Astyanax mexicanus: one gene and its partners. The protein of the gene in region 3 purifies or fractionates together with the protein of the main gene of each other region. This does not show direct contact. Links are inferred from orthologs where the notes say so. Each region holds a gene or a part of one and is shown on either strand. Other genes may lie near its edges. The genes, in order: krr1, rpl35, gnl2 and usp36.

Region 1 (7,747 bases), on a different chromosome or scaffold from region 3:
CCTGTGCTGGTGTATACTGTCCTGTTCTTCTCTATGTTCGTCTGTGCTGGTGTATACTGTCCTGTTCTGCTCTATGTTCATCTGCGCTGGTGTACACTGTCATGTTCTGCTCTTTGTTTGTCTGTGCTGGTGTACACTGTCCTGTTCTTCTCTATGTTCGCCTGTGCTGGTGTATACTGTCCTGTTCTGCTCTATGTTCATCTGCGTTGGTGTACACTGTCACGTTCTGCTCTTTGTTTGTCTGTGCTGGTGTATACTGGCCTGTTTTGCTCTATGATTGTCTGTGCCGGGGTATACTGTCCTGTTCTGCTCTTTGTTCGTCTGTGCTGGTGTACACTGTCCTGTTTTGCTCTATGTTCGTCTGTGCTTATGTATACTGTCCTGTTCTTCTCTATGTTCGTCTGTGCTGGTGTATACTTTCCAGTTCTGCTCTATACTCGTCTGTGCTGGTGTACACTGTCCTGTTTTGCTCTATGTTCGTCTGTGCTTGTGTACACTGTCCTGTTCTGCTCTATGCTCGTCTGTGCTGGTGTATACTTTCCTGTTCTGCTCTATGTTCGTCTGTGCTGGTGTATACTGTCCTGTTCTGCTCTATGTTCATCTGCGCTGGTGTACACTGTCCTGTTCTGCTCTTTGTTCGTCTGTGCTGGTGTACACTGTCCTGTTCTTCTCTATGTTCGTCTGTGCTGGTGTATACTGGTCTGTTTTGCTCTATGTTCATCTGCGCTGGTGTACACTGTCCTGTTTTGCTCTATGTTCGTCTGTGCTTGTGTATACTGTCCTGTTCTTCTCTATGTTCGTCTGTGCTGGTGTACACTGTCCTGTTCTGCTCTATGTTCGTCTGTGCTGGTGTATACTTTCCTGTTCTGCTCTATGTTCGTTTGTGCTGGTGTACACTGTCCCGTTCTGCTCTATGTTCGTCTGTGCTGGTGTATACTGTCCTGTTCTGCTCTATGCTCGTCTGTGCTGGTGTATACTGTCCTATTCTGCTCTATGCTCATCAATGCTGGTGTATACTGTCCTTTTCTGCTCTATATTCATCTATGCTGGTCTATAATGATCTTGGTTTATGCTGGTCTGTTTACAAGTATGTGTGTGTTCTTGCCTTGCTGGGATCACCCCCAAACACTGCAATGTTCTGCTTGACCCAAAGCAGAGCAGCCTGCTGGTCCAATATCCCATAATTTCCCACTGAATCTGATCTGGGGTTTGTCCCTGTAACCAGAAAACCAAAGGCTCCTACAGAAAAAGTGAGAGAGTTAGCCAGAGTAAAACTAATGTAACATGATGTATTGTGTGTGTGTGAGAGAGAGTGCGTGGTGGGTAAGGGGGTTTGCTACCCAGTCTGTAGGCCACGCTAACCACCACGGTGTGCGTGAAATTGCTGATGAGCCGAGAGTCATACAGCGGTTTGGAGGCGGAGCCTGCAATGAAGTCTCCACCATGAATCCACACCATTACTGGCAGCTGCAGCAGGGGGGCGCTAAAGTTCACACTCAGAGGAACAAACACATTCAGATACAGACAGTCCTCACTCACCTGCAGCCAAGCACACACAAAAAATTAAAATTAAATAAATAAATAATTAAATTAAATAACACTGCTTGTGTAACAACAACAACAATAATAATACTAATAATACTACTACTAATAATAATATTAATAATAATGTGTCTGTAAAATCTATAAATATGCCACACACACATGCCCTCTGACCGTTTTCGGACACTTGTCTGTGATTGGTCCAAAGCAGCGCTGCATGCAGGCCGGTCCGGGGGCCGAGGCGCTCCGCTCTCCTCTCCAGGGTGTGACCGGTCTGGGGTATCTCCATCGGTATGCCCCCACAGGCGGGTCAGCAAATGGGATTTTGTAGAATATGTGAGCGGAGTCAGCGGTCAGTCCTCTAATGATCCCATCTTTGGTCAGGACTCTTGGCCCAGTGGTCTGCGGGTCCCCAAGTGGCCGGCCTTGGACCAGGACCCCCGCGGTGACCCTGCGAATCACAGCGGCCACACTAATGTGCTCTTCGGAACCAGACACGGTCCTGTCCGTCACACACATCGCACACACCATCACACACACCACCAGGGCAGGCCAATATACCCCCATAGTCATCACAGGAACAAAGGTCAGCAGTGTTCCAGCAGATGCAGCAATGCTAGTGCACTCTGCGCTAATGCTGGTCTTCCACAACCTTCAGTGTGGGCTGGGTTAGCATCAGCGCGCATGATTCCAATTACAGATGGGGCAGTGCTACTGCACGGTGTGTGTGTGTGTACTTGTGTACATGTGTGTGTTTGTTGAGCATGTAATTAGTAGCACATGCTCTGTTTTACTTAACAGACTAAAGCAGATTCTCATGATCTCCAGGCTCAGTTCTGTTTCTGCAGATCGGCTCTGTTACTTAGTCCTCATCTATCTATCTATCTATCTATCTATCTATCTATCTATCTATCTATCTATCTATCTATCTATCTATCTATCTATCTATCTATCTATCTATCTATCTATTATTATTATTATTATGTTACTAAGAATATAATCTTGTTATTATAATTGTTATTATTGTATAGAACTGTTATTATCAATGAGTAATCTGCTATTTATGAGAGATCAGTGTGTTCAGCTGGAGCTGTTTAGTTCTTGACCAGTGTAGTTAGTGTGTACGGCCCCTGTGTGGGATAAAGTAAAAATAAAAAATCCCTGGTGTGACTGTCATAAAACTAAAACTGTCAGTTATTCACAAAAGTCTGCAGAAATTCTGTGTTCAGGTATACTAACATATATAATACATAGGAATGGATATCGCCACTAATTTCCTGAATCGATTTCAATCTGTCTGAGCAACAGGTTCCTATCATGGTGTTGTTCAGCTTTGTGTCCTTCATGAACACAGCAGACAGTCCTTGTGTTTCAAACAATCCTTAAGTGTTCTAAAGTCTGTGAGAAGATGAAACGGAGGAAAAGAGTGGATGGAAAGATCTTCTGGCCTGTGTGCGACTTTATACCGTGTAGAACAGGCAAGCGCTGGCTATCTGAGGAGAGGTTCCCAGCACTTCACTCAGATAGCTTGTTGTCTCCTAGTTCATATACACTGGTCCCAGAACAGCAGTGAAGCTTCTCTGCCACTCAGGGTCACGTCCTCCTCACAGCTCTCACTGTTGATGAAAACATTCTGACCTTCCTGATTCCTGAAAAAGTACAAACAACCTCCAAAGCTTGGTGTCATTGAGACAGTTAAGCTAAGCTCATTTATTAAGTAAACAGTAAAATAATATATGTATATATAAATGTATAAAAAGAGTATTAAGGTCTAATCAGCTGCTTGGGATTAAATGATGGATTTGTAAAAATAAATAAATAAATAAATAAATAAAAACAAATCACTAAAAACTATTTAAGTAATTAGAATAAAATAATATAACAATAATAAAAAGGAGAAAAGTTAATTGATAAAAAAAGTAAAAGAAAAAAAGTTGACATTAATATAATATTTTAAACTTAATAAGGAAAATGGCTTGTGATTTAATAAATTAAATTTTAATTTTTAAAGATATGTGTATTGTTTGTATTATGTTTAACATTGACGGTTTTAGGCTAAATGCAAAAACATAAACTGTGTGTACATCTTATTTTTTATTTATTATTTATTTTGGGTTTTCATTTATCTCCTCAATTTTCTAGTTATTAATTTATTAATAATTGTCTGCCCTGTACAATCTGAAATTCAGAGAAAATGTAAAAAAAAATATGTATATTAAAATATTTACTCAATCATCTAATGTTTCATGTTTGCATCTGGAAACAAACGTTTTCTGGATTATACCATTAGACTGGAAGAGAAAATAAGGAAATTTAGTAAAGATTTCTGTATTTTTTTAATGCAATTCTGATTGTGAGTGAGAGAAATTTGGAAAAATAATATATATATTTTTTTTCTTATTATGCTTAGCCTTAAACATTACACACTGCCCTTCTATCTGATAAGAGTGAAATCAGTTTAGTAAATAATTAATTTAATAACAAAATATTACTAATACAAATTCACACAGAACACAAATAAAATAAAATAATAATTTAAAAATATATAACACTACTACTACTACTACTACTTATAATAATAATACATAGTAGTTTGTCCTCTGACCTGAAGGGTCGCTGTGAGTCTCACTGCGTTCAAACACGCAGCAGCGCTAAAGGAAGCAGCAGAAGAAGAATCAGCAGTAATGGCGGCGCACGCAGAGGGCAGCGTGAGAGAGAGAGGCGATCAGAAACTCAACAGAAACAGAACCAGAGCCAACCAGCAGCCCTCCGGTACCGCTGCACACACACACACACACACACTACACCTCTACTCACCTGTACTGACCTTTACTGACCGGTACACACAGGGCCGGAGCAGTGTGCTGCTCTGTGTCCCCACTGTTTACCTGACAACATCTATTTAATTAAATTTAATCTATCTTTAAATTATTTTTATTCTTTTACTGATGATTTGGGCGTCTAGAGAAGGTTCTGTATAAATATTTACAGTTAGATCAGAAAATTTTCAGCAAAAGCTTTGCAGTTCTTTTTGGAATTGTCCGTTCCACCTTAAATTCCCTTAGCCTGACCCTGGAGAATTTAAGGTGGAACGGACCATTCTCAAAAAAAAAAAAACAAGCTAGGTCAGAAAGTTTAGTTAAATTGTATACCGAATTAGATGCAATATTATTAAATATAGTACTAGTAATCGATAAGCAATAATAATAATAATAATAATAATAATAATAAAAATAACAATAATATTAATAATAATAGAAAAGCTCAAACACGTCGTAATTAAAATAAATGTTTTTACTTGCATGTATTACTTATTTTGACATTTAATTGTATAATAACATAGTAGATCGTAGTCTGTATTTTCCTATAGACCAACACCAGCAGATGACATGGTTCTCCAAACCATCACTAACCATCAGTAACTTTCATTTGGAAATCAAGAGTGTCTGTAGGAAGAGTGGAGAATCACACAGTCCATGCTGCTTGAGGTCTTGAGTGAAGTTTTTACAATCAGTGATGGTTTGGAGAGACCTGTCATTTGCTGATGTTGATCCACTGTGTTCTATCAAGTCTAAAGTCAGTGCATTGTTTTCCCAGAAAATCTTACAGCACTTTATGCTTCACTCTGCTAACTGCTAACTTTTTTCATTTTCTAACAGGACTTGGCACACTGCCAAAAGTACCAATTGGTCTTATATAATATTCTAAGTATTAATTATTAAGACACTGATTTTGGTGTTTGATTGGCTGTAAGCCAACAATAAAATAAATAAATGCTTAAAACAGATCACTCTGTGTGTAATACATCTTTATAATATGAGTTTCACATTTTGAACTGAACTACTTAAGAAAAAAGTAACTTTTCAAACATATTCTATTTTTTAGATGCACTAGTATATTAAGAATGAGGTGGAAATCATTTTTGGTATATTAGAAAATATTGTTGTAGTTTAAGTTGCATTTCTCTATTATAAAAGTCCTTATTTGATCTGATTGTGATCAGGATAAAAAATAAATGATAAATTTACTAACACTTTCTAATAATTTTTACCACAATTGTATCTATTAAATGTGAATGATAATATTTTAACAGCAACACAATAAAAGTGCCTTTTTTGTATTTTCTGCCCAACATTTGCAGATGCTGAATATTCTGTGCATCTTTATTAATGAGGGGAAAACATTTATTTGTGTGAGCCAGATTGTGGACTATCTGCATTTTATTTCATTCTTTTTTAGATATTTAAACATTGTTATATTTCAATTAAATGTCTATAACTGCTCTTTAATAGAGTATAATTTTATTATTAGTTATTATGAAAGTAAATGAAATCTTCTGGAATATTAATGTGTAATAGATGATTTGGAGCTGTTGACTGTTCCGGATGGATGGAAGGAGCCGGAGTTTACGTGGGCGGATAACCCCCGGGGGCTGCTGGAGGAGAGCAGCTTCGCAACCCTCTTCCCCAAATACCGCGAGGCGTATCTGAAGGAGTGCTGGCCGCTGGTGCAGAAAGCTCTCGGAGAGATTGTGAGTGACCCAAAAACATGGATACCCGTTAACTGGTACAACATAGAACCAAAGCTATGAGGCAAATCGAGATACAAGATACAACGGAACCTTATATGACACTAACAAGCTTTGTTGTCACCTGTTGTGTAGTTTCTCATTTACCAACTGTTTAGTTATTTTTTTATACAATATACATTAGATAACACTGTGGGACACTAGGGTAGATGTGTGGTTAGTGTAATGGTTAAATGAGCTTTAGACACATTATTGCCAGCTTTAAGAAGGTGTAGAAAGATGGAGGATGTGCGGCTGTGTGTGAGGCAGATGCACTGCATTATTTAAGGTGAATGTGCTGCAGTTTGAAACTCGATCTTTAGAATGATCTAAACTGTGGATTTTTATTAATCTGATACTTTGCTGCAGTTTATAAATGCTTCACTGGATCTGATTGAGGGCAGCATCACTGTCAGCACCACTAAAAAGACCTTTGACCCGTACGCCATCCTCAGAGCGCGGGACCTCATCAAACTGCTGGCCAGAAGCGTCCCGTTCGAGCAGGTCAGTACACTCTGGATGCATTCAGGACTTTACACAGTAACTGCAGCTTATTTATTTTTAATGTTTCTCTATTAATATCTGATATCTGAATGTTCAGGCTGTGAGGATTCTGCAGGACGACATGGCGTGCGATATAATAAAGATCGGGACACTGGTGCGGAACAGAGAACGCTTTGTGAAGCGCAGACAGAGACTGATTGGACCTAAAGGCTCTACGCTAAAGGTGAGCTAAGTACTGTAACTTTGGACCTATGTGCTCTAATATAGGATTGAGCAGATATTAGTGTTGTAATATTGGACTTAAGGGTACACCATATAAACCACTTGGATAAATATTACTGTGTAATATATATATATTAGTGTAATATTACTATTATGCAAGGGATCTTTTTCTCAGCTGTTCCAAAGTGGTCAGTGCAAATGACAGTCAGTATAATTTCAAGTCATGACCCGTTAATTTTAAATCCAATTTATTAAATAAACACACCCAATGATAACAGTAATAATAAAAAAAAACTAAAAATGAGTTTCAAAACATTATATATGTTCTGCAAATGGTATTTTTTTTATTTGAAGCATTAAGTGGTCACATTTATTGAAATCAAAAGCTATTTCAATCAAAAATATCTTAACAGGCCAAGTTACATGTTAACATAGGAACTCTTCTTTAATATCAGCTTCACAATTCTTGCATCCATTGAACTTGAGTTTTTGGGGAGTTTCTCCTAAATTTATTTGCAGGATGTTAGAATCGCCTCCCAGAGCTGCTGTTTTGAGTTGAACTGCCTCTCACCCTCAGATATCTTGTGCTTGATGAAACTCCAAAGGTTCCCTATAGGGTTGAGGTCAGAGGAAGATGGTGGCCACACCATGACTTTCTCTCCTTTTTTGCCCATAGCAACCAATGACGCAGAGAAGAAAGTGATCAGTCAGAACGTTTTTGTACTTTGCTAAGGTCATTTTCACATCTTTAGGGACCCTAAAGAGGCTACCAGCTCTCTCTCCATGATTCTGGTCCAAAACACAACTCCGGCCCAAAACATGACTCCGCCCCCTTCTTGCTGACATCATGGCTTTGTTAGGACATGGTGGCCATCCACCAACCATCCACTACTCTGAAGGAAATAAATATGT
Region 2 (7,961 bases), on a different chromosome or scaffold from region 3:
GGGCGTGTCGATGAGGGTGCAAAAAATACTCCTTGCGCAGCTCGAAACACACAAAAGGCATGAACTAATTATCTTAATTAATCATGGGTGTGTTTTGGGCGTAACGTAAAATAAACAAATCAGTGTCTCTGGCCATTCCTTTTAAGAGGCAGGTGCACTCTGACTTTGACGCTTTTGTATCTTAACAGTGTGGCACTTTGTTCTTTTCAGCAGAGGATACTGACCTATGGGTTTACGCTGTGAAGGTCATTTAAAGGAACAGCAATGTTATTTTATTCTGTTTATTGTTGAGTTAAAAGTCTTGTTTGTGCTCTTCAGAGCGTCTGTGTTTGCACCTATAGGAACGGACTCTAGATTGTTGATGGGGTGAAAGGATGCCTTGGGCAGGGTGTATGATAGAGCCCATAATGTTTGATTTTACTATAACCTGCAACAACATTGATGTCCAAGTTTTAAATTTAAAGAATAATGATGTAAAGTAAGAATTTAAAAATAAAAATGCATTTTAGATCTGACATAGACACACATTTGGTAGGGAAAGTAAAGGCCCTGTTACATCAAGTAAAGACAGATTCACACCAACTACAATTTTTTTGGATGTAAAAAATGAATGTTTTTTTAGCACAGTGGAACTTTTACAACGACTCTGACATGTTTTTGCCTTCTCTTCTCTGTAAACAGCTTTTAAACATAGATTTCACTTTATCTCTGCTTTCTGCTGCTTTGATCTGCTCTTTGATTTCCTCCTCCATGCGAGTGCCCATCAGCCCGAATAAGAAGTTCATTCATGGTTATTTGTGGATCATAAACAGATTCCGACACACCTAGACAAACTTTATCAAACAGGTAAAATAGTGTCTGTCTTTTGGGTAGAAGTACAGATCACCCCACTGAGTATTCATGAGTATGTATGTTTGATAGTTTAATAATAGTGTGTGACTGAGCTGGTTAACCAGACTAACCAGTTTGATAAGTATTCCAAACATTTAAGAGCTGTGATTCTACCTACTCAACAAAATTAAGGATCAGTAGCTTACCTTTGATGTGTAATATGATTTCTCTGCTATGTTCTGTTCAGCTGTCAGGGTTTGGTTTAGGTCACACCATTCCCAAAGAGCCTGCTGACTGCTTTCAGCATGTTCTGCACTTACAGTCCGATAACAAGCCACGTATCTTCCATCACTTAAGAACAAGACAATCCAAACAATACTAGGAATCAAGTACTGAAAGCACTGGCAGACAGTTTTGGACGTTATGCAGCATTTGCTGCCTTTCAGTTTCACTTTTCCCAAAAGAGTCCCACTACTGGGAGGTGGGACATTAGTCACCCCAACATTAATATCAGAATTCCCACCTCCCTCAGGTTGGCTGTCCGGTCCTCCACTTGTCGTAGCAGACTTTTCCACATTCCTCACAATGTAAAACATGGCGACGTATCCTATAAAGGCGGGCATCAGAAGGTAAATCCAGAAAAAAGGTTTCTATAGAACCTTTCGCAAGGGCACACAAAGTCAGCCTCGATAAACTTTTCAGACACAATAAGGCAGATAACCACAAAAATTAAGTAAATGTTCTTTCCCTTATGGGTGTCGAGAAATGGTTCTAGCAACTGGTCTATCATTTTTGGTTCCAGTAGAGGATAGAACTGTTCCTGAATCTATACTAAAAAGGTACCGTTAAACAAAATGCTGCAGTTGCCTGTTCTAACATGCCCTGTGTGTTGTTTTGACAAAAGTGAAAATGAACTTTCACAGATAAAGTACAACGAGGAATGTAGGCTCCTGTGTTCTAGAGAATTCCTTGGTCAGGCCCCTCCCTAGTGTTGTGTAATTTTTGTTTTGTGAATTGTATTCATATACAATTACAGCATGTTCTTGCTATCACCTGCAATAACAAACCCGCCCCCCTAACAAACCCCCCTCTATAACCTGCTCATTGGTGAGATAAACTGCAGCAGGGGTCGCCAACCTTTTTCAAACTGAGAGCTAATTCTTGGGTACCAATTAATACAAAGGGTTACCAGTTTGATACACACTTGAAATCACAAACTTGCTAAATGTAACTTTAATTATGTTATTATTAATAATTAATTATATTCATCTATATAAATACACTGTACACCATATTTCTTATATTACATTTTACTGCTGCTGTACATTGTTTAAAGGTTTCAGACGATGTTTGCAGATTTTGTTTTCCTGAATTAACACTGTTGCCACACGTTTGTCATGTTTGTTCATGCTGCTTGTAGTAAAATGTGAATAAAAATATATACTTATATATAATAATATGATATATAAAATAAACAGTCAAAAGTTTGGACACTCCTTCTTTAATGGATTACACCTTATGTAATGTTTTTTTTTTTTCGTAGAATCTGTTTATTTTTACAAGAAAGCAAATAATATTTAAGGGGGTAAATCTTTTTACTGACATTATGTAAGCTGTGTAATGATATGAAGAAGTCAAGGTTTATTTCACATCTTGCTTTGGACACTGTTTCTAGTGTCACATGGTAATTAGCAGTGAAATTTACAATATAAGTCAAATGTATTTTACAGTAGGGCTGAAAAAAAAGAAGAAAAACTCAATGTGTTTCAAGTAAACTTTATTCAAACATTTAAAATTTAAGCCTGACATGCCCAAAGAACATACAGAAAAAGTACTTTGATGATTTGAGGAAGAGGGGAAAAAGTCAAGTCTTATAGTCTTATATCATATTCAGATACCAGTCTTCTTCAGCTAAGCAGAGAACAGTCAATTTACTTCAAATTCATTTATATAGCACTTTTCAAGCCTTTTATGAGTAAACACCACAGTGATAGTGCCAACAGTGGGCGAAGAAAAACTCCCTCATATTAAGAGGAAGAAACCTTGAGAGGAACTAAGAAGGACTTCCACCTCAGATCAACCCGGACAGCACAAACAAATAATGTAACAAAAAACAACTGTACAGAGAAATAATGGAAAGCTTTAGGTAATGTATAAACAGGTTATGAGTTATTAGTGCAAGTACTGACTTGCAGGCCACTGACTTGCTTACAGATTAAGGTTTTAACATGGAAACATGAAAACTGTAGGTTAAGGAGTAATAGGAAATTCACAACCATGCAAAATAAAATGAAATAGGCCTCATCAAATACTCCCAAACATGACCTGTGAGGGGGCTGTTCTAATTCCAGATGCAATCTACTAAGAGCATATCAGTCCTACTGATTCTGAATATGCCATACAACATGCAGTACAAAAAATACACCCTATTTTTTTTTTTTTTTTACATGTATAGAATACAACATGATGCTTTTGCTTGATATTTTCCATGCAAAACAAAATGTTACACAGGTAAAGGGTCATACCCAAGATCTTTTATTTTATTGGTGTAGGGTCATAGACGTGTTCAGTCTGTCAATCAAACCCCCCCCAGTCTGTCACAGGAAAGGTAGTCCTACCAATGTTGCTAGTCACTACACTACACCACCCACATATGATCTATTAAACAGTATATTATAAATAACTCAAAAACAATTAACCTGATGTAATTCTGCATTACTGCATGTTCCAACAAGAAAATCATCCCCATCCTTAGAATGCTGCTAATCATAAGATTGTAATTGGTTCAGCCGTCATCTGTTTCCACAACTGTGCCAGTCAGCTCATCAGGGGTTGCATCGCAGCATATTTTCATCCATGCAGAGCAGCATCTTTTACAGCATGCAGGCGCAAGCTGATAAACCAGTGCCAAAAGCGAAAGTAAGAAGATGAAAGCAAAACCAGATAACTGAAACAGAAAAAAACAACACAACTCAGCTTAATATGTTCATTATGTTAGGATCAGTAGAACAGTTCTGATTGTACTGATGTGTAAATCAGTAATCAGTAGCTTACCTTAGATGCATAATATGCTTTCTCTGCTGTATTCTGGTTATCTGTCAGGGTCCGGTTTGTGTCACACCACTCCCAAAGAGCATTTGTACTGCTGACAGCATGTTCTCCACGTAGTGTGGTGTTAAAACAAGCTACATATCTTCCATCACTCAAGAACAAGACTATCCATACAAAAACTGCCATAAAACTCTGACCATATGGATTATTGGCAGCAGCTTTTAGCAGTATATACACTTTTTTTAACATTTCCTTTCTTACAGAGTGATTCCTATTTATTAAAGGTTGGGTTTCCTGTACTTCATTAGAGCTCCCGGGCTCCAACTCAGATCTTGCAGATGTTCCACTTTCTGCTAACTGGATACCCGGTTCTACACGAGATCTTCCGGACTCCACATCAGATGTTCCACTTTCAGCCAACTGGAAAAACAGTTCTACACGAGGTCTCTGGGACTCCACATTAGATGTTCCACATTCAGCCAACTGGAAAAACAGTTCTACACGAGATCTCTGGGACTCCACATCAGATGTTCCACGTTCTGCCAACTGGAAACACAGTTCTACACGAGATCTCTGGGACTCCACATCAGATGTTCCACGTTCTGCCAACTGGAAACACAGTTCTACACGAGATCTCCCAGACTCCATATCAGAACTCCTACTTTGTGTAGCAAGTTCATCCGTGTTGTTTAGAACGCACAACACAGAAACATATGCTACAAAGGCAGGCATCAGAAGGTAAATCCAGAAAAAAAGTCCTCTATAGACCTTTTCACAAGGACACACAAAATCAGCCTCAATAAACTTTTCTGCCAAAAGAAGGCAGATGACAACAAAGATGAAGAAGATATTCCCCTTATTTTTGTCAATAAGTTTTTGTAGAAGTGGTTCTATCATATTTGGTTCCTGAAAAGGACAGAACTGTTCTTGAATCTAAACTCAGAAGATCCAACAGACAAAATGCTGCAGTTTTCTCAAGTGAAAGTGTAATGACAGTATCATAGGCGGAGTACAAAAATAAGCAGTTCCCTAAATTCTCATGTTTCCTGGACTAGCTCCACCTTAGTGATGTGTGAGGTATGAGTGAGATAAACAGGGGTATTGTACTTCTATAATTTACAGGTCTCTACATGAAAATATTCACACATTTTCAGTTGTCTTGTTGAGAATGGAAAATCAATCCGATGTATTGTAAAAATATGGCTATAGCCAATTTGGAAAGACCTGAAGAAGAAACTCATCACTGGTGTATGAAGTAACAGATGTTGAACAGGTAGTAGACCATAGAAAAACACAGCAGTTAATGACAGAAACATTGTAAGTGCTGCAAAGAAAAACCTAAATCAATTGTTGGTGACATCAGCAACAAATTGGGGCAGGAGTGAAAGTATCACACTCTACTCTTCACAGAAAACCTCATCAAAAAAGTACAGAACCGTCACCAAAAGATGAGAACCACTTATCAACAAAAAGAAGAGAAAGAGCAAGCTGGAGTTTGCCATGAAGTACAGAGACTAGCCTATGGACTGATTATGGACCTATGACAAGAGAATCTTAAGAACCTATGAGAAAGATGAATCTGTACCAGTGTGTTGGAAAGGCTAAAGGTTGGAGAAAGAAAGTATGCAAAATAAACTCTAGTCTATAGTAACATTTTGTCTGTCAATAAGAAGAAATGTGCAACAAAACGGATTGGGAGATCCTTCATCTTGCAGCAAGATAATGACCCAAAACACACTGCCTGGAAAACCATCACAAATGAAGAATGTAAAAGCGTAGTGATGTCAGTGGGTCACAGGCTTGATGCAGTTATTGAAGGCAAAGGATTTGCAACTAAATATTTAGCTCTATTCACTTTAGTCTATTTTAAGTTGATTTATTCCAAAATTAAAAAGAAGTGGGTTCATTATGTAATAAACATGTGATGACATTTATCAAAGACCAGCATCACTTGAAACATTACAGTGATGCAATGAACATGTAACTTGCAATAAATGCATTTGTATATTTCTTCTACCTCAGTTCTTTTTTTGTGTTCAGTGAGAGAAAACTAGCCTGTTTTGGGCATGAACAAGTGTATTATGTGAACAACTGGATATATTTTTTTGTTTGGCATCCCATTACTGTAAAATGATACAGTAATATCACTGGAAATGTATTACATGAGAAAGAGATCTTTAGAGAAGAATTTAGTCGTGCGATATAATAACCCATTGATTTTTCTGTTTTATAGGACTCCAAACTCATGTTGTCTTATTTTTTAGTATTATTACTGGAAACATACGTATTAAATACAATGAACAATGTTACACGATGTTCAGCAGTTATCATTTGATAACCATTTGATTTGCTTATTTTATATGACAAACATTTCTAAAATGTTACACTGATCTACAGATAGGTAGTTGTATTTCTGGTGTATATTAGTTGATTAGATCTGGATAAATCATTTTTATTTAGGTGTAAAACTATTTTCTATTCTATTTTCAGTCTCTGCTGGAGAAGCGCGTGCCTCTGCTCCTCCAGCTCCGCTGTGCACGCAGCTACCGTAATACACTGTTTAGACGTGCACACAGGTTTTTGGTGCGGATAGCGTGACCGATTTACTATTTCTTTATAATTTACCAACAATCTCACGGCCCGCGGGCCGTACAATGCCCAGGTCTGGTCTAGTGGCTTTGTGAGCACTTTGAATAAATGACTTGAGACGTGTTTCAATAACAAATCATACAGTAACAACATATATAAAACTACTTCTACCAGGATCATGCATTCTAAACTTCAGAAATATCCAGTCAAAATGAAAACTGTTATGAAATGTAGATTCACAGCAAACAGTCATGGCCAACAGTGTTGGCACCCCTGAAACTATCTCTCCTAGAAAATGACTGCAATTACACGTTTTGAAGTATATTTGGGGTCATTGTCCTGCTAGAAGACCCCTGATGTAGGATGAAAACCCAGCTTTTTGAAACTGGGACCTACAGTGCCTTGCAAAAGACAGGCCCCTTGAATTTTTCAGCCTTTTGCCACATTTCAGGCTTCAAACATAAAGATATGAAATTGTATTTTTTTGTGTAGTAGTGGGACAAGAAGGTGCTCTGGTCAGATGAAACCAAAAATTTTTGGCCACAATGCACAACATTATGTTTGCCGTAAAAGCAACACAGCTCATCACCCTGAACACACCATCCCCAATGTAAAACATGGTGATGGCAGCATCATGGTTTGGACTTGCTTTTCCTCAGCAGGGACAGGGAAGATGGTTAAAATTGATAGGATTGATGGAGCCAAATACAGGACCATTCTGGAAGAAAACCTGTTGGAGTCCGCAAAAGACCTGAGACTGGGATGGAGATTTATCTTCCAACAAGACAATGATCTAAAACAAAATCTACAATGGACTTGCAGCTACAAGCGACTTGCTGCTGTAGTCCAGCTGGAGAATGACCCCTTATATACTTCAAAACGTGTAATTGCAATCATTTTCTAGGAGAGATAGTTTCAGGGGTGCCAACACTGTTGGCCATGACTGTTTGCTGTGAATCTACATTTCGTAACAGTTTTCATTTTGGCTGGGGTATTTCTGAAGTTATAAGAATGCATGATACTGATAGAAGTAGTTTTAAATATGTTGTTACTTTATGATTTGTTAATAAAACACGTCTCAAGTCAATTATTCAAAGTGATCACACTAGACCATGCACAGCTGATGTGTTTTAATCCAACTATAATAGTATTGTGTGTATGCAAAGCATGTTTTTAAATATGAAACTAAAATTCGTACTGCCTGCTTACCACACAGGAAGACAAGAACCTTTTATCTCTGTAACTCCTCACCACACATGCTCATTTTTTGTTTTTTCGTCCCTGATTCACGGTGCATGCTACAATGATTTTTTTAATATTTTAGAGACAACCTTAAAAAGAGCCCTGTAGAGAGCTATGTTTTTTTCTTAGTCTTATCCTCTCTGTTGTTGTTGTTGGAACTGAACTTTGTTTGCCCTTGCATTAATATAAGAAACATTCTTTCATGCTGAACTTATGTTCTTGTGCCTGGTTTTACAATCTTTGCCCTT
Region 3 (8,859 bases):
ATTGCATATGCTGCAACAATAACAAGAAAAAAAATAATATATATCCTGTCAGAAGAGACCTGCCAGTTTAAGACAGATGATGGCTACTCACCGGGCCCTTAACCTGCTGACCAATCGGGTGCCAATGGGCACAGTGTTCAGGGGAGTCCGTGTTCATTCTCTAAAAGGTCAGACATGCTCAAAACCCAGAGAGGGCTGTAATCTCAATCCATCATCACTTTCTCCTAAATGGCTGCTAGGCAGTTTGCTGGCAGCTCGGAAAACAGATTAAGTGTGCACCAAGAAGGATGTCATGACCCTGCACCTTTACCCAGTCCAGAACGAGAAATGAAACAAACAAGCTTTCCCTCCTGCACTGCGGTGCACTTGGGTCATAGGGGGTAAAGAGGTGGGTGGAGGTCTCAGCAAGCCATCTTTCAAGTACCTCTCACTCAAACTTCTTGGAAGAAGTGCAAGAGCACATGGGGCTTCCCTGTCTGCAGCTGTTATGTAGTTCTATAAAATCTAATACATGCTGAATCCTTTATTTTGGTATAAGATTGCTTGCTAAGTCTGCTATTTATTGCGGTGCTTTAATTTGGTTTGGCTTCTGCCGTACTCCGCGTCTGCACGAGAGACCTCACTCCACTCTCAGAGTAAGATAAAACACTGGATGTCAGTGTAAGCTCTGCAGACTTGTTTGGAAAGCTGTGTTGGACAATGTCTGTGCAATCATGTGATTAACAGCGATTAAACAATGAATTAATAAACAATATAAAGTATTATTGTTTGTAGTATTAGTTTATTTATATGAACATTGCAGTGGCATTTACCTACACAGAAACTAAAGTAAAGAGTAAAGAGTGAGTAATGATAATTTATCAATTTTGCAAGCTAATGCCTAGAAATGTATTAGACAAATAGTCTAGAGTCAAATCTCAGAACAGTCATAACCCTGTCAAGACATAAGGTACTCCTGAAACTTATCCAAGGCAACAGGGAGACCAATAAACAAAATAGATACCCATTTCATGAAGAAAAAAAAGTGTTTTCACAGACAGACATAAAGACCAATATACCAATATAATACCACAATATAATAATTATTATTATTGTTATTATTATTATTGCGTTATTACTATCTATGCTTTTGCCATCATTATGTTGTTTCCATGCTACTATTATTGTGTTGGCATTGTTATAACCATGTTTAGTTATGTAAGGTTATTACTATGACCATGTGTTACTGTATTTTTCAATGTTATTATGTTATTACTATGGTATTACTACTGTATTATCATTACAACAGTGGTCGGGGCAATACAGAAGTTTTTATAGCCCTGTCATCCCACTTAAGATCCATCCATAACAATGTTAAGTTGGGCAATGTAACAGAAATAAGGTACAAATTATGATGGTATCTCCAAATGTGTACACATGCTCTTCATAGTTGCCAGTTTATCACACTAATTACAGAAAACTAAAACAGAAAACAGGCAAACCTGGAATTTACAATTTGCAGCAGGTGCCTTTAACCAATCAAAGCAAGATATGAAAATAAATAATGTAATGAATCCTATTATTACTACCTAAAAGGAAGTTAGCGAAACTATCAATGAATTGTAATGCTGTGTACTAGGGGTGTCAAAAATATATTTGTATTGAGATTTTTGTAAAAAGATATTTGTATTAAGACATAGGTGTTTAAAACTTCCTCAGACACACCCCAATGTTACTTAGTGAAGTTCCTGCTTCACTACTCACTACTAATTTCTAGTATTTGCTTTATTAGGAGTTTTTCATCCTCTTAAGTAACACAGACACTGTTAAGTATCATACAGAATTGTCTTGTGATATATAGAGTATCACAGAATCACAGTAATGTGATATACTCGCTATTGTGCACTGTGTACCATGCTATTTTTTGAAATTACGTGACAGTATATAAAAGTGTGTACAGCCTAATCCTAGCTTAATGTATCAGATGTATTCACCAATATGAAAACACCAACTGAGGAAAGATTTTTGAAAGCATTGTGTTCTGTTCCTTGGGTACAGCTGTATAATTGATGCTGAAGCACATTTAAATTGTTCTTGGGGTTTTGTGATGACCCATCATCATATTGCCTTTGTCACCAGCCTGGAAGATACTGAGTTCAGCTACTGTCAGTCAGTCAGTCAGTCAGTCAGTCAGTGGGTCAAAAATGTGATCTTGTTTGTTCTTTACTATAGATGTAAATGATGGGGTAATGGCGTGCATATAAAAATCTCTTTGAATCTGTTGGACTTAACAAAACTAGCAAAACATGGTACTTTCAATATTTTAAAAAGGAGGAATATTTAAATATTTTTGAGGAATTTATTACCCAGTAATCAGGGGACCTGCAGTCATCATACACAAGTTCAAATAAGAAAGTATACACAACATTTCCTCTCAAATATAAACCTTCTTGAACCTTTACAACGATGCCCAAAATTCGATTTTAGCCTTTTAGCTTGTTTTTAATTCCTGTGATTTCTTGTTTACTACATGTTGTATGTTGTAGAAAGATGATCTGAAGAGGAGAAATAAATCTGAAAATAATTAAAAAGGATTTCTTGCTCTTGTTTTTGGTTGAATAAGACTATGGCATGTACTTGGCAAAAGGGGGAGCTGCCGTGTCTGTGATTGGAGTGCATTTGTGGCACATTTCTGATGCTGTCAGTTTCAATCCTGTCCATGTGAAAGTGAACAGAGAACATTCCACGGTCTGGACTCTTCTACTGTAGGAAACCGAAGGCTGAGGGTACATTCAAAACTGCCTGCGCTGTACCACTTAGTTAATTTCCCCAAATGTTGTTTTGATCCGGTGCATAAACTTGGACTCTAGGGAAATGTACTGGTATTGTAAACAGCGTCCGATGAGAAAACAGCATTTCATATTCGTAAACATGTGGGTAAGTAAGGAACCCTCAAAAGAGGGCAGAGATGATTATTGCATTGTTAAAGATTATCTCTCATCGTTACAAAGACTTACAAAATTCCTAGAAAAAAACAATAGCAACAAAGCCAACATAAACCGTAAGAAAATATTTGGTAGGATGCTGCAGTATCAGTTTTCCAATGCCACATTTAGCTATACATTGGACAGCATCCCAGTGAGTAATTACTAGACCTATGCATGTATGCCCTCTTCTGGATACACTGAAATTCTTTCTGTTCACACAATCAGCTCTAATATTGGAGAACATTATTAATTATAAAATATTTCATTGCAGTGAAGTAGGTAAACTACTGGTAAAATGTTGTTTTATTGAATAACTGGTAAATGTTTTATTGAATTTTAAGCACTTAAACTCCACTGAACTGGTGCAAGTCCTCAAGTGGTAGAAAGCTTTTTACTTAGTAAAAAGTAAGTAATTGTTCTTAAATAATGGAAATTAATGCATTAAGGAACTTTTCAAGTCAACTGCTCACAGGTTCTCTGAAGCAATTAAAAACAAAATGTTGATCTGGACTTAAAAAGACACTTAACAAATAAAGACAAACAGGTCCTTAGAACAATTGTATGTCCTACCTTCAGAGAAATTACAAATAAAGCAGATTGAGGTATAATTTACCACGCCATCAAACAACATTTGGATACAGGAAAAAGCAAAAAAATCTGGTACAAGAAAAAGTTTGACAAACTCAAACCTACAACAGCATCAGAAGACAAGTTTCTACCAGTCAAAAGCTTATAACGACTCTTATTAGAATACCGGTTTATCGCCCACCATCAGTGAATTTTAATAGATTTTTAAATTAATTTAATTAAAGTGTTCTTTAAACAATATGACAGTCTTCACAGAATGTGCTGTAATTATATTTCAACTAAACTGTATAGGATGAAGGGTGCAATGTTAGAGAACCACAACCTTTCCTTTTTATTATTAATTATTTTATAAATTCATATATATTCTTCTAACTTATTACTTATTAATTTCGGGAAGCTAATGATCTTTAATTAGCTTTTTTTACTGTCACAATGAAACAAGGTGCTCAAAATTATGAACTAATAAGTTAGAAAAAGAACATATATAAACATAACTTTTTATAAATCATATAATGTAGTTACTGTCATGTGGAAATATATAGCTTTAATTAAATAACTCGCTCATCTTTTTTAATTGTATGTCATTAAATAACAACGATTAATATTAATATTATTATATATAGGAAGAACCTTTCACCTTAAAGCATTTTTAGGTTTAGAATCCTATTAAGCCATGTTAAATAAAGGTTATTTTAAGCATGTTTTTCCATAAGTAACATTAAAAGATGTAATGAAACCAAAAAATATATATATTCATTTAATGTTCTTTGCTATCAGGGTCGTAGAATGAATAAGTTACAATTACCTAGTTATTGGTTTAGTTTGTTTATTTATTTTTTAAACTATATTAGTTTTTTTTTTTTTTTTTTTTTTTTTTACAAAAAAATACAGTACCAGTCCAAAGTTTGGACACACTTCTTAATCTCTTTTATGATTTTTTTTTACACTGTGAATGTAATATTGAAGATTTTAAAGCTATACAGGAACACATACTGGAACGCAATTATTGTGTAAACAAGTGTTAAACCAACCGTAAAAAAGTAAGAGTGTTAAACCAACCGTAATATGTTTTATGCTTTAGATTACAGTACCACATTTATCTTTGAGGACAGATCTGCACACTCTTGGTATTTTAATCTCAGTGTTTTCATGAGGGAGAGTCACCTGGAATAGTTTTCTTAGCATCTTGAAGGAGTTCCTGGAGGTGCTGAACAATAGTTTCTGCTTTTCCTTCATGCTGTGAAGCTGCAGTTCATCCCAAATCATCCATCTCAGTTGGGTCTAATTGAGACTAACTTTTTTCCATCAGAATAGAGCATAAACCAGCCAATGTATAGCTTTACAAGCCAATGAAACAGTCGCTTAGCCCCGCCCACTTCACTGAAAAAAACGGCAGCTCATGCATTAGAGTGTCATAAATTCATAAGTGATAAGTTAAAGGAGGGTAAACAATCACAAGGAAAGCCATGAACAAGACTTTGTATCATAAAATAATAATAAACATTATTAATTAAGTTTTCGTCCATTTTTCCAGTTTTTGTTTTTTCATCTCTGCACCTCACAAATGAATTTTCAGGACATATAATAATAAAAAGCCTTTTCTTTATTTACTGATTTTTCCTTTTTTAATTTTGCAAGGATTATAACATCAGATTTATGTTACAAGATACAAAAATGGACAAATCTGAAAATCGAGAGAAGATTCTCTACAATTGAGAGATTGTTTTCTTGAAATTCTGTTTGCGAAAGACTGAAATGAAAAACTTGATATTGAAAAATTGGATGAAAAACTTTTTTTTCATTCTACTGAATAGGAAAAAATAATAATTAAGTTTTATACCCAATTTTCTATTTTCAAATTTAGCTTAATACAGTCAGAAAATTAAACTGCTAAATGTACACTGACCTCTAAGATTACTGGGTGTCTTAGAGCTTTTAAAGAGGGAAAACTGTGAACAAAAAGAAATGTGTGGAAAAAACAGGCAGTTGCAACGTGTTTTTGACTAGTTTCACGATAATAAACTCAAAATTAAACGCAATATTTCCTACTTATTTCACAGTCATATTTTTGTTTGACCAGGTTCGTCAGGCAGTCGCTCGGCTGATGACGCGTTTGTGCGCGTTTCCGCCGGGCTGCATGTGGACCTGCAGGGTAACACGTGTGAGTGAGGGAAGAGAGCGGAGCGGATCTGTCCGATTAATCACAACAGCAGGACTCCTATAGACCTGATCAACATCTGATCAACATGACCAAACCCAAGTTTAAAGGCAGGAGCTCCATAAACCCCTCAAACTCCAGTTCAAACCCCGGTAAGATACGGGTTTAATCATTTCAGCCTAGATGTAAACAGCTAGCGTTAGCCAGCAGGCTAGCTGTGGTCCGAAAGTGCATAATGCTGAGATTACTGACTTATGAAATCATGCGGGATGTATTTATGTGTATTTGTAGGATTTATACAATTTATTTTCGCGTTTCTGCTATTGTGTATTTCTGCGCGCGAGCTGACGTTTTGCTAGTTTTGTTAGCTAGCTTAGTAAAGTCACGGAGTCTAAAGCGTCAGCTAACGTAAGCTAAATGTCTTGATTTGCATCTATTTCTTAACGTAAGCAGTTTTTCCTGTCAACGAGCAAAGTGTCCGGCTCTAATAGATCGTTTATTGTTTATTATTATTATTTTATGATAAAGTCTTGTCTATGGCTTTCCTTGTGATTGTTTATCTTCGTTTAGCTCATCCGCAATGAACTGATGTAGCTAAGCTAGGTTTAGCTAGCTTTACCTAGCTAACCTAAACATCTCTTTTAAGTATGGTTGGTGTTAGAATCAATTACTACCAATTATATGATCTGAATGGAATATGCGGTATCTAGCAGGTGGCAATAACTATAGATCAGCCATAACTCTTGTCATGAATATTCAGCTTTAAAAAAAAAAAGAGACAACTTAAAAATGCTGAGTTTCTTTGATTTTACCTAAATAAAAACCTCTGGAATATAATCAAGAGGAAGATGGATGATCACAAGCCATCACACCAAGCTGAACTGCTTGGATTTTTGCACCAGGAGTGGCATAAAGTTATCCAAAAGCAGTGTGTAAGACTGGTGGAGGAGTGTGATTAACTGTGATTAAGAACCAGGGTAATTCCACCAAATATTGATTTCTGAACTCTTAAAACGTTATGAATAAGACCTTGTTTTCTTTGCAATATTTGAGGTCTGAAAGCTCTGTGTCTTTTTTTGTTGTTTCAGCCATTTCTTATTTTCTGTAAATAAATGCTCTAAATGACAATACTTCTATTTGGAATTTGGGAGACATGTTGTCCGTAGTTTATAGAATAAAACAACAGTGTTCATTTTACTCAAACATATACCTATAAATAGCAAAACTGAGAGTGAATAGAGAAACTGAAGTGGTCTTTTATTTTTTGCCAGAGCTGTATATGAGCACTTTGTAGGGTCATAGTCTATAAACTATAGGACTAAAGCTAGTGTGTTTCTCTGTATACTTTCTTAGCCTTTTTTCATTCTGTTCCTAAATGGTCAGGATAATCATACAGCAGGTATTACTATTTGGGTGCATTGACAGTGACATGGTTGTGTGTTAGTGTGTGTTGTGATGGTGCATGGTGGATCAGACTTAGCAGTGCTGGCGGAGTGTTAAAACACCTTAGTGTCACTGTTGGACTGAGAAATATCCAGTCACACACAGCAGTGTCTTGTAGGCAGCGTCCTGTGGTCACTGATAAAAGACTAGAAGATGACTAGCACAAACTGTCTACAAGGTTCTACAAGGTTGTTTGTGGTATTGTGTAATAGAGTGGACAGTGAATGGACAGTGATTAAAAACTCTCAGTGTTTAGAAAAGATCTACTTGTACCCCCACAAACACACTAACACACATGCCAGTTCTGACCACTGAAGAACGATGTGTACAAGTCTACAGTATAACACTATTTTATGGTTGTCTGTTGATATGAATTTTGCTCAACAGCTTCTAATTAACATCTCTTTTTTTTCTAGATCGAGTAAAGGGGACTGGAGGAAACAACATGAGGGACCGGGCCACTATCAAGCGTCTGAATATGTACAGACAAAAACAGAGATGGTAATCTTGGCTTTTATTCTTTAATGATGACACAAAATCAGTCTGTGTTGTGCTGTTTGATCACATTTATAACTATAAAACAGAATTATACAGTATCTTCCTGTACACTTTTTTTTACTTAACTAACAAGTATTTGTTGTTTTTTTTGTATTTTCTCCCCAGCAACAATCGGGGTAAAGTCATTAAGACATTACAGTACCAGTCCACTGTGGCTCCTGGAACTGTAGCCAGAGTTGAACCCAACATCAAGTGGTTTGGTAAGTTTATTAACTGTTTCATATGTATTATAAATTATACTGTTTATGAGGTACAATTATGTTACATCACGGTACAATTACATTGAAAATACTGCATCACTTCTGTTTGGCTTTAACTGATCCAAATTAACCTGTCCAGTTTTGTTGCACATTTCTGATGGAAGAGATAAGACCTTATGCCGACAGTTTGTGAAAGAATGCAAAACTTTTTTTTTTTATCTCTGTTTTGGGTTTTTTGACACGTTTTGAATTTTGCTATAGTTTTTCTTACATTTAGCAAAAAAAAATATGATGAATGGACCTATAGAAATGCTCCAAATTGACTTTTTGGAGACAAATTGTATATGAACTTGTTCAACACTATGCATAAACTTACAACTCAGCAATTAAAAGCAACTTGAGTAAAACAAGTCTGTAATGGTGCAGAAATTATCTTCAGGGGTAATATTAAGATATACCTGCTTAATTGCTGTGGAAATTCACATGAATATGAGAAATGTCACACAAAATCTGAAAATTAACAACAAAGATTAAACTTTTTGTGCCATTACCTTCCCCATATATTGTATCTATTTCAAGAAATTAAAAAAGTCAGAATTTGTGCAGTTACAGGATCTCAAAAACCATGAGTACACCCCTTACATGTCTGCAAATATTTTATTATATCTTTTCATGGGACACTATAGAACGCCATAGAAATTACACTTGGCTTTAACTTAGAGTACTAAATGTATAGCTCGTATAGCAGTATAGATCTACTGTTGTCTAAAAACTCAAAACACAGCAATTAATATCTAAAAAGCTGGCAACACAAGTGATTACACCTACTAGTGTTTAATTGTGATGTCAGGCCCAGTGAGAGAAAACGTTGGACTGCTTTTTAACCTGTCTATCTCCTCTGATGCTTCTGCAGCTAATACTCGGGTCATCAAGCAGTCGTCCCTGC
Region 4 (7,959 bases), on a different chromosome or scaffold from region 3:
CATCGAGCCGTGGGTGTCCCTGACCGTCGCTCAGAAAAGAGGCTTCGAGACTCGCTACGAGACGGGCTGCGACTGCAGGGTACGTACCGGAGCATAGTGCACATCAGCGTCCTGCTCTCACTGCTCATTTAAACACCTTATTTCTGTATTTAAAGGGTTTCTACATAGGGCTTCATAATTAACCCATTAACAAACCTTGAATAATGTATTTATAAGGCAATATTTATTATATCCTGAGATATGCCCTAAGATGTTTTATGAAAGATGTGAAATTATATTAATTTAACATGTGTGAGTGATAATTATTTTATATAAAAACATTAAATAAATAAATGGTTTAAAGAAGGAAAACAAAAATGTATGATGGAGCTTTCATCATGCATGACATGTCTGCTGATTTCTGCTTAAAGATATGTTTATAAAAGCGTATTGCTACTTTTGTTTGATTGAATTGTAATGTATTGTAATTGTAATTAGTCATTACATCATTACAAGAATGAAGCAGAGGTCCCTCACCACTTTAGTTTAAGGGAATCAAATTCTTTCATGAGGCAAAAACAGGCCTAAGCACTGTTAAAAACCTCTTAGATATAATAAAGACAGATAAAATGTGTATATATATATATATATATATATATATATATATATATATATATATATATATATATATATATATAGTTTTGTAAATGTGTTGATACTTCAATACTTATTCAATACATAACCTATGTTGATACGTTGTTAACACCAGCTGCTGCTTTAAAAAAATCCTAATAATGTTAGAGGAAATGTTGCAGTATGACGTAAAATAAGTTGGTAGTTGTCCGGATTAAAAAAATCCTAATGTTTGAGGAAGTGCTGCAATATGACAAAATAAATCTGTCATTATTTAGCTTTTAAAAAATCCTACTGTTAGAGAAAACATTGAAATATATGAAATAAAATAAATCTGTCATTGTTTAACTTAAGAAATCGTAAGGTTACAGGAAACTCTGCAATATGACATAAAATTAATCGGTCATTGTTTGACTTTTAAAAAATTCTAATGTAAGAGAAAATGCTGCAATATGATGTCACAAAGCAGTTTACAGCAATGTGATCACAGATTAATTTGACATCAGTTGTAAAAAGCGCCATACAAATAAATTTGATTTGATGATTTGATTTGATAGTTTGCCTTCAAAACGTCCTAAAATTCCTAGTTAGAGGAAATACTTTTTACCATTTTTTTGTCTAAATGTTTCCGTTTACCAAATATTCGTTGTATCCTTATTTCTGATGTTATATAACACAAAATAAATCAGTCATTGTTTGGCATTTAAAATCCTAATGTTAGAGGAAACTCTGCAAATGCGATATATAATATTCTAATCTTTGTACTTTATTGTAACGTCTGTTTCTCTCATGCGTTTTCTGACAGATCGTTCGCTGTGCCTCTGTTCCCTGTGCGGTTAATGATCCAGTAGAGTGTCTATGGACGGACTGGATCACGGAGAGCACTGTGGCGGGTCCCCAGACTCAGCACTACACCTGCATAAAGAGGAACGATAACTCCTGCGCCTGGTACCGCGGCGCCGCCCCGCCCAAGACCGATTTCATGGACATCGAGGATCCGTAAACCTGCAGACAGCAGCACACTCCAGAGCTCGCTTTAGAAAGGCCTCTAAACACTGCTACGGACCCTTTAACATAATCCTGCCCTTCTTCACCTGTATTTAGTACTTTTACACCACAGTTCCTGTTACATAACACGAGATGAAAGGATATGGCAGAGGTGAAGTTCTCGGACTTTCTTAAGCACTTTGAGTCCCCAGTAGCACCTGGCTGTGACCTTACGCTGTAGAGAAAATACATTTTTAAAAAAAGCTAGTACCACTTTTAGCGTTTTTCTATTTTTTATATTTGGGAGGTAATTAAATCACAGCAAGCATGAAAAATTGCTAATAGTTATTTTATCTAATCCATGCTAAATGCTTTTAAGATGATAATGATTAGATAAATGCTCTATTCGGGAGGTGGAGTTATGTAATGTAAAGTAATGTTACTATAGGACGCCTTTAAAATTTATGACAATAATGCAATCTGGTGATATGCTAGTTTATGTATGTTGTAATATATATATACAAACATTTCTAATTTATATCTAAACATTCCATTATCTTGTTTTTTCACACAATAAAAATAGAATACCCTTTTTCCCCATTCCTATTTTTACATTTTTCTATAATTTTGTGTTTTTATTGTTAAGAGTTAAACCAGAGTTGAGGCGATTAATGTTTATAATTTCCAGTATTCCTCCAGTCTTTCAGTCCGATAATCTTCAACATTCAACATTCAAACGTCAATTGTGTGGAAAAGGTTGTGAAGCCTATGTTTAATGTAGTCATTTTGTATATCATGGTATTGTTTTTTTAGTATTTTTTATTTCTATGCTCCTGTACTGTGTTTGTTTTTCAAATGTTTGAATGTTTTTTTTTTTGTTTTTCTTTTTTTAGTATCACAAAAATAAATAAGTGTGAGATTTCCGGTGCTGGAACCACTTGGGAAGACTTTGAGAGCTAACCTGTGCATGCCTTTCATAATTCTGTATTATTCATGTTGGTTTAACAGTTTTAAATAAAGGAAAAGAAAAGCACTTAATGGAGTCTTGGGATTTTGTGTGATATACATTATATTGTTTCTTTTTTGTTAAGTTGAAACCTCTATATAGACTTTCCTTACTTTTTTATATTTAAAAATAGCAACTTTAGACTTAAATTTTACTTTACTTCATTTACATTTATAGCATTTATCTGATGATCTTATTTAGAGTGACTTACCAGGTTATTCCTATTACAGAGTTGGGCCAATTTAGTGTTAGGAGTCTTGCCCAAGGACTCTTATTGTGTGTATGTATAAACATATTTGACTAGAGTGTTTTAGAGAATATACTGGAGCATCCAAGCCTCCACTACCAGACACTGCAACAGCTTCTTCCACCAGGCAGTCAGACTCCTCAACACACAGAGACGGAACTGAACCCCCCCTCAATAAACACATTTAGACTGTACTGTGTCGGTACTGTACAATATTTCATGGTATTTTTGCAATAACAATACTCTTGGCGATACGATAAAACACTAAATAAAAAATAAAAAATGCACTACTGCAACAAAATAAAAATTTAATTTTATAATTGCAATACGATATATGACGTACCCCTAACTGAGATATAAAAAATACAAGAATTTTATCAGATTTGTAACAGAAGTCAATGATCCAGAATGCCATGATACTAATAACAATGCACTTCAAATATCTCCATATATTCAGGATTAAAGTAAAATAAATTATACTGGACAGATATAATCTGTCTGTAGTAGATACATAATGGGAAATGAGAACAGTGTGAATTTTTCTTTTGATAAAAACAGTATAAAAGTAGAGCCCTGATGTGATAATTAATTAGGGGTGGGTGATATAGTACGATATTTCAGGGTATAATATCGTTCACCATATTAAAAAATGTTGGCAATATTATTGTGTACGATATGATATGGCACACAGCCAATATAAACTCACGTGTATATACACCTCTGGAAAAAAAAAACAAAGAGACCACTTAAGTTGATGAAATGAAGAGATCACTTCAGTTTCTGAATCAGTGTCTCTGATTTTACTATTTATAGGTTTATGTTTGAGTAAAATGAACATTGTTGTTTTATTCTATAAACTACAGACAACATTTCTCCCAAATTCCAAATAAAAATATTCTCATTTAGAGCATTTATTTACAGAAAATGAGAAATGGCTGAAAGAACAAAAAAGATGCAGAGCTTTCAGACCTCAAATAATGCAAAGAAAACAAGTTCATATTCATAAAGTTTTAAGAGTTCAGAAATAATCAATATTTGGTGGAATAACCCTGTTTTTTAATCACAGTTTTTTCCATGCATCTTGTAGTACGGTGGCCAAGAAAGCCCAGCGCAGTGCAAATTGAAAAGCGCTGCAAAAGCACAAAACACATCCATCAAAATTACAACACAGGCGCTGCAAATAGAAAAACGCGCTGCAAATAGAACCACAACACAACGGAAGTGAGTCACAACACAACGGAATTTTCCCGGGGGACCTTAAAAGATACTGTACCAGCTAAGCTGCGTCTTCAGTAACATCTCGGACTTCACTATGTGTACAAAGGACAAAAAGTGGCAAACAAGGCGTTTTGTGAAGCAGAACTTTTAATAAACATAACTTACTTTTCAGAAGCTTGTTTGCCACTTATTGTCCTTTGTATACAGCTGGTACAGCATCTTTTAAGGTCCCCCGGGAAAATTCCGTTGTGTTGTGACCCACTTCCGTTGTGTTGTGGTTCTATTTGCAGCGCGTTTTTCTTTTTGCAGCGCGTTTTTCTATTTGCTGCGCCTGTGTTGTAATTTTGATGGATGTGTTTTGTGCTTTTGCAGCGCTTTTCAATTTGCACTGCGCTGGGCTTTCTCGGCCACCGTAACTCCTCCACCAGTCTTACACACTGATTTTGGATAACCTTATGCCTTTACTCTAGATGTTTTCAATTTGGTAAAATCAGAGAAAATCATCATTTTTAAGTGCTCTCTTATTTTTTCAGAGCTGTATATATATAGTGAACTATAGTGTTTAAATTTTATTTTTTTGGACATTATGTCCTATAGCATAGTAAACAAGAAAACGTGATCAGAGCAGTCGCTGGCTGAGTCTCGTCCTCTGATTGGTCAACAGAAATATGAATGAAGCGCCGCGTCAGACTTTTCCCCGCAGCTGATTGGCTGGTGTGTTCCGTTCATCATTGGAGGCCCCGCCCTCAGATAATGCAGCATGGGGGAGAGAGCGCAACAAAATGAAGGACTTCAGAGCCGCCGATGGTCTTTATAGTACCGCAGACTGAACGATTCCGGCTGCTCCGCGGATGGGTATGTACAGTACGGTGTTTTTAACCCATACTAAAACATCTACACAACGTTATCTCCAGTGAACGGCTCGTGTCGTGCTCGGTTTATCGGTATAAAGAAACCCCCGTTCCCGCGGCGGGGTGGTGGTGGTGGTGCAGTACTGCACACGGCGCAGCTGCGGATCCGGGGTGTTGCGTCAAATTGCGCTACCCGTCAAAATGTGCTCCCTACCTACACTGCGCATGCGCTGGTGTGTTTATTTTTGTGAAGAAAAAATGTTTTCTCCATGATAAATGATTTAGCTATAATTTTCATTGGGTTCATTAAACCTAAATATCATGGTGCTGCTTTATGTATATATATTATTGCATTGTCATTTCAATGTGTATTATTTTTTTAATTATTAATATTTTGGCTATTTTGTTTTCATTGTCTTACTAAAACCGTATCTTTTGTTTATGCGTTTATTTATTTGTTTATGTATTCGTTTGTTTTGCCTCAGGGCAACATAAATATGCAGTTACATAACAAGGTTAACATGACAAGCAGTGGTATTTCTTCTTCTTCTAATTGTTATTAATATTAATATTATTATTATTATTATTATTAATATTATTATCATTATTATTATCGTTATTATTATTATTTTATTATTTTTCTCAACAAATATGAAAATCATGCTATAGAGAGTTTAAAAAACTCCAGTGTCATTATTTGCTTGAACAGTTTAATATATGTGTATTGTATTATCACCTCTACCTCTAACTAAAGTAATGTTTTAACTTTTACTTTAATTCAGATTCTTTTTAACTATCCACATATCCTACTTAAATATTTGAAAACAGCATGTTGTTTTAATATGGTGTAATATTCTTGTCGTATTTTAGTAGCTATATTAGATACATTTCAATAATACACTATGGTAGCAGTTTTTGGCGGGGTAGCACATATTGACATAACACCGTGTTCGTACACTGTAAGGCAGTAGTAGTTGTGGAAGCAGCAGCTAGGCCAGGCAGCGCTGTGTTTTAGCTAAATATCTATACCTATAATTATACCTGTACCACCGTATCTTTTAGTGTCGTAGGGAAATATAAATATGGTCATATTAACCTATATATGGACGAATAATCAGTTTATATATGTTATGCTTTGGTGTATGTGTTAGGTTAGCTAGGTTGGTTGATCCAGACTAGTCGCTGCCATGTGGTTGAGTATGATGCTGATGTTTGGCCTCACCTGTGTGGACGAGTAGCCAGCGTGGGGTTTAGTTAGGTGGCTTGCTACAGCTAAATGTGTTCCTAAATACATATACATATATTGACTTTTTGGACAAATTCTACCTGTTCTAGATACATATACTGTCACTTTGTTCTTAATGCTGCTAGCTAAAATTAGGATTAGTAGTTGTTTGTCAGTGGAACCACCCTGCGAGCAAATAAAACATTAACATTTAATATTTAAATAACGTTGCATTACCTACCTTTTTTAGAGTTGATGGGAAAACAACATCTAAACAACCTTTATAAACCATTGCCTAAAATAATGCATGGGTTCGTGTAAAAATTCATACATAAGATGCATTGAATCTACGTTCATTTAAAGGTTTTAAATGGCTGTGACTTTTCTTACTCTAGCTCTTACTCTAACTACTCTCACATTAATGCTTTTAGATAAAAGCTTATATTAGTGCTCTTCTCAAATAATATTTTTTTTATTATTTTTTTAATAGTAATAATTATTATAATTATTATAATAAATTATTATATAATTATTAGAGAAAGTTAATATTATATAATTAATTATAATAATTATTATTGTTTAAATGTCTATTTAGACTGCGATTTACACGATATAACAACCTATGTTACACGTTGTAAGTTAGTTATGTAGCTAAGTAAAGTTCAATATAAAACAGACATAACGTTGTATCAACGTATGATTGGTGTGCACAACTAAATCAGTCCTGAAGCTGGATAAAAATATTGTTTTAATGCATTAGAAAAGGAAAATTAATGTTTATTTAATATATTTTTTTCTGTCAGGATAGTTAGCTTGGTAGGTTAGCCAGTTCACGAGCTATGGTAGAAAACATGCATGCGTTAGCACTGTTGCTAACTATAATTTTTCTGACAGGATTATTGGCATGTTCGACCCCAATTTGTGACATTATTGTCTGTTTATTAAATTTATCTTAAATATAATCTTTTAATATTGCGTAGCTCGTTGGTCTGTCATATAGTTTGCTACAAGTGAGCTAGCTAGCTTAGTTAGCTTGCTAATAATTCCCACAGGTTTAAACGTAGGCACCAGAAAACGAAAACGTTAGCTTAGCATTGCTTGCTAGCTTTCCTAGTGCACGAGCTCTGGTAGAAAACATGCCTGCGTTAAGCTGAGCTAGCACTGTTGCTAACTAGTCATTTTGGCTTTTTAGCTTTTAAATGGTCCTTTTCCTGACAGGATTTCTGGTCCGTAAGGCTCCATTTTTTATATTATATATTTATACAGCGTAAAACTTATTCTAAACTATTTAATATTGTGTCGCTTGTTGATATAATGTAATATAGACTAGCTAAGGTAGAAAACATGCCTGCGTTAGCACTGTTGCTAACGATCATTTTTTCTGACAGGATTCTTCGCGTGTTCGACCCTAATCTGTGACATTATTATTTAATTATCGAGTTTAAAGTTAATCTTTTAATATTTCTTTGCTGTTTTAATATAGTGTTATAGCAACCTAGGTTACCTAGCTAGGTTGCTAATGTTTCCCACAGGTTTAGGCAAAATGCATTAGTATAGCATTAGAAAACATGCTTACGTTAGCACTGTTGCCAACTAGTCATATTGGGTTTTTAGCCTTAAAATAGCTGAGCTAGTTGCCTATGTCTGACAGGATTCCTGGTCTATATTGTATATTCTTTTCACATTATTGTCTGCATCTTGCCTAAATTTAACATTTAATATTATGTATCTTGTTAATAGAAGTACTGTTTAGGCTGTGTTAGTCATTTTCTAAAATAGTCTCAGATTTGTGCTGTAATCTGTTAAAACCTGA

The links.
Region 1: the proteins of gnl2 (region 3) and krr1 purify together in Homo sapiens (affinity purification with mass spectrometry; 3 studies listed by BioGRID and IntAct, with this or other methods). This does not show direct contact. The link is inferred for Astyanax mexicanus from reciprocal best matches to the Homo sapiens genes GNL2 and KRR1.
Region 2: the proteins of gnl2 (region 3) and rpl35 purify together in Homo sapiens (affinity purification with mass spectrometry; 3 studies listed by BioGRID and IntAct, with this or other methods). This does not show direct contact. The link is inferred for Astyanax mexicanus from reciprocal best matches to the Homo sapiens genes GNL2 and RPL35.
Region 4: the proteins of gnl2 (region 3) and usp36 purify together in Homo sapiens (affinity purification with mass spectrometry; 3 studies listed by BioGRID and IntAct, with this or other methods). This does not show direct contact. The link is inferred for Astyanax mexicanus from reciprocal best matches to the Homo sapiens genes GNL2 and USP36.

The regions. Positions count from the first base shown.
Region 1 is NC_064409.1:26,516,299-26,524,045, reverse strand, and holds the start of krr1 (KRR1 small subunit processome component homolog), read left to right. Parts: upstream 1-4,185; 5' UTR 4,186-4,226; coding exon 4,227-4,314; intron 4,315-5,900; coding exon 5,901-6,073; intron 6,074-6,478; coding exon 6,479-6,613; intron 6,614-6,710; coding exon 6,711-6,836; intron 6,837-7,747. Other genes in the region: cAMP-regulated D2 protein, read right to left, coding at 1,106-1,239, 1,341-1,539, 1,717-2,115. UniProt on the Homo sapiens protein: Part of the small subunit (SSU) processome, first precursor of the small eukaryotic ribosomal subunit.
Region 2 is NC_064424.1:25,163,477-25,171,437, forward strand, and holds the start of rpl35 (60S ribosomal protein L35), read left to right. Parts: upstream 1-4,392; 5' UTR 4,393-4,396; intron 4,397-4,455; exon of another isoform or gene 4,456-4,459; intron 4,460-7,961.
Region 3 is NC_064413.1:32,199,275-32,208,133, forward strand, and holds the start of gnl2 (nucleolar GTP-binding protein 2), read left to right. Parts: upstream 1-5,672; 5' UTR 5,673-5,800; coding exon 5,801-5,864; intron 5,865-7,571; coding exon 7,572-7,656; intron 7,657-7,818; coding exon 7,819-7,913; intron 7,914-8,826; coding exon 8,827-8,859. UniProt on the Homo sapiens protein: GTPase that associates with pre-60S ribosomal subunits in the nucleolus and is required for their nuclear export and maturation.
Region 4 is NC_064426.1:43,488,554-43,496,512, forward strand, and holds the start of usp36 (ubiquitin carboxyl-terminal hydrolase 36), read left to right. Parts: upstream 1-4,772; 5' UTR 4,773-4,925; intron 4,926-7,263; exon of another isoform or gene 7,264-7,372; intron 7,373-7,959. Other genes in the region: timp2b (metalloproteinase inhibitor 2b), read left to right, coding at 1-79, 1,418-1,615. UniProt on the Homo sapiens protein: Deubiquitinase essential for the regulation of nucleolar structure and function. Required for cell and organism viability.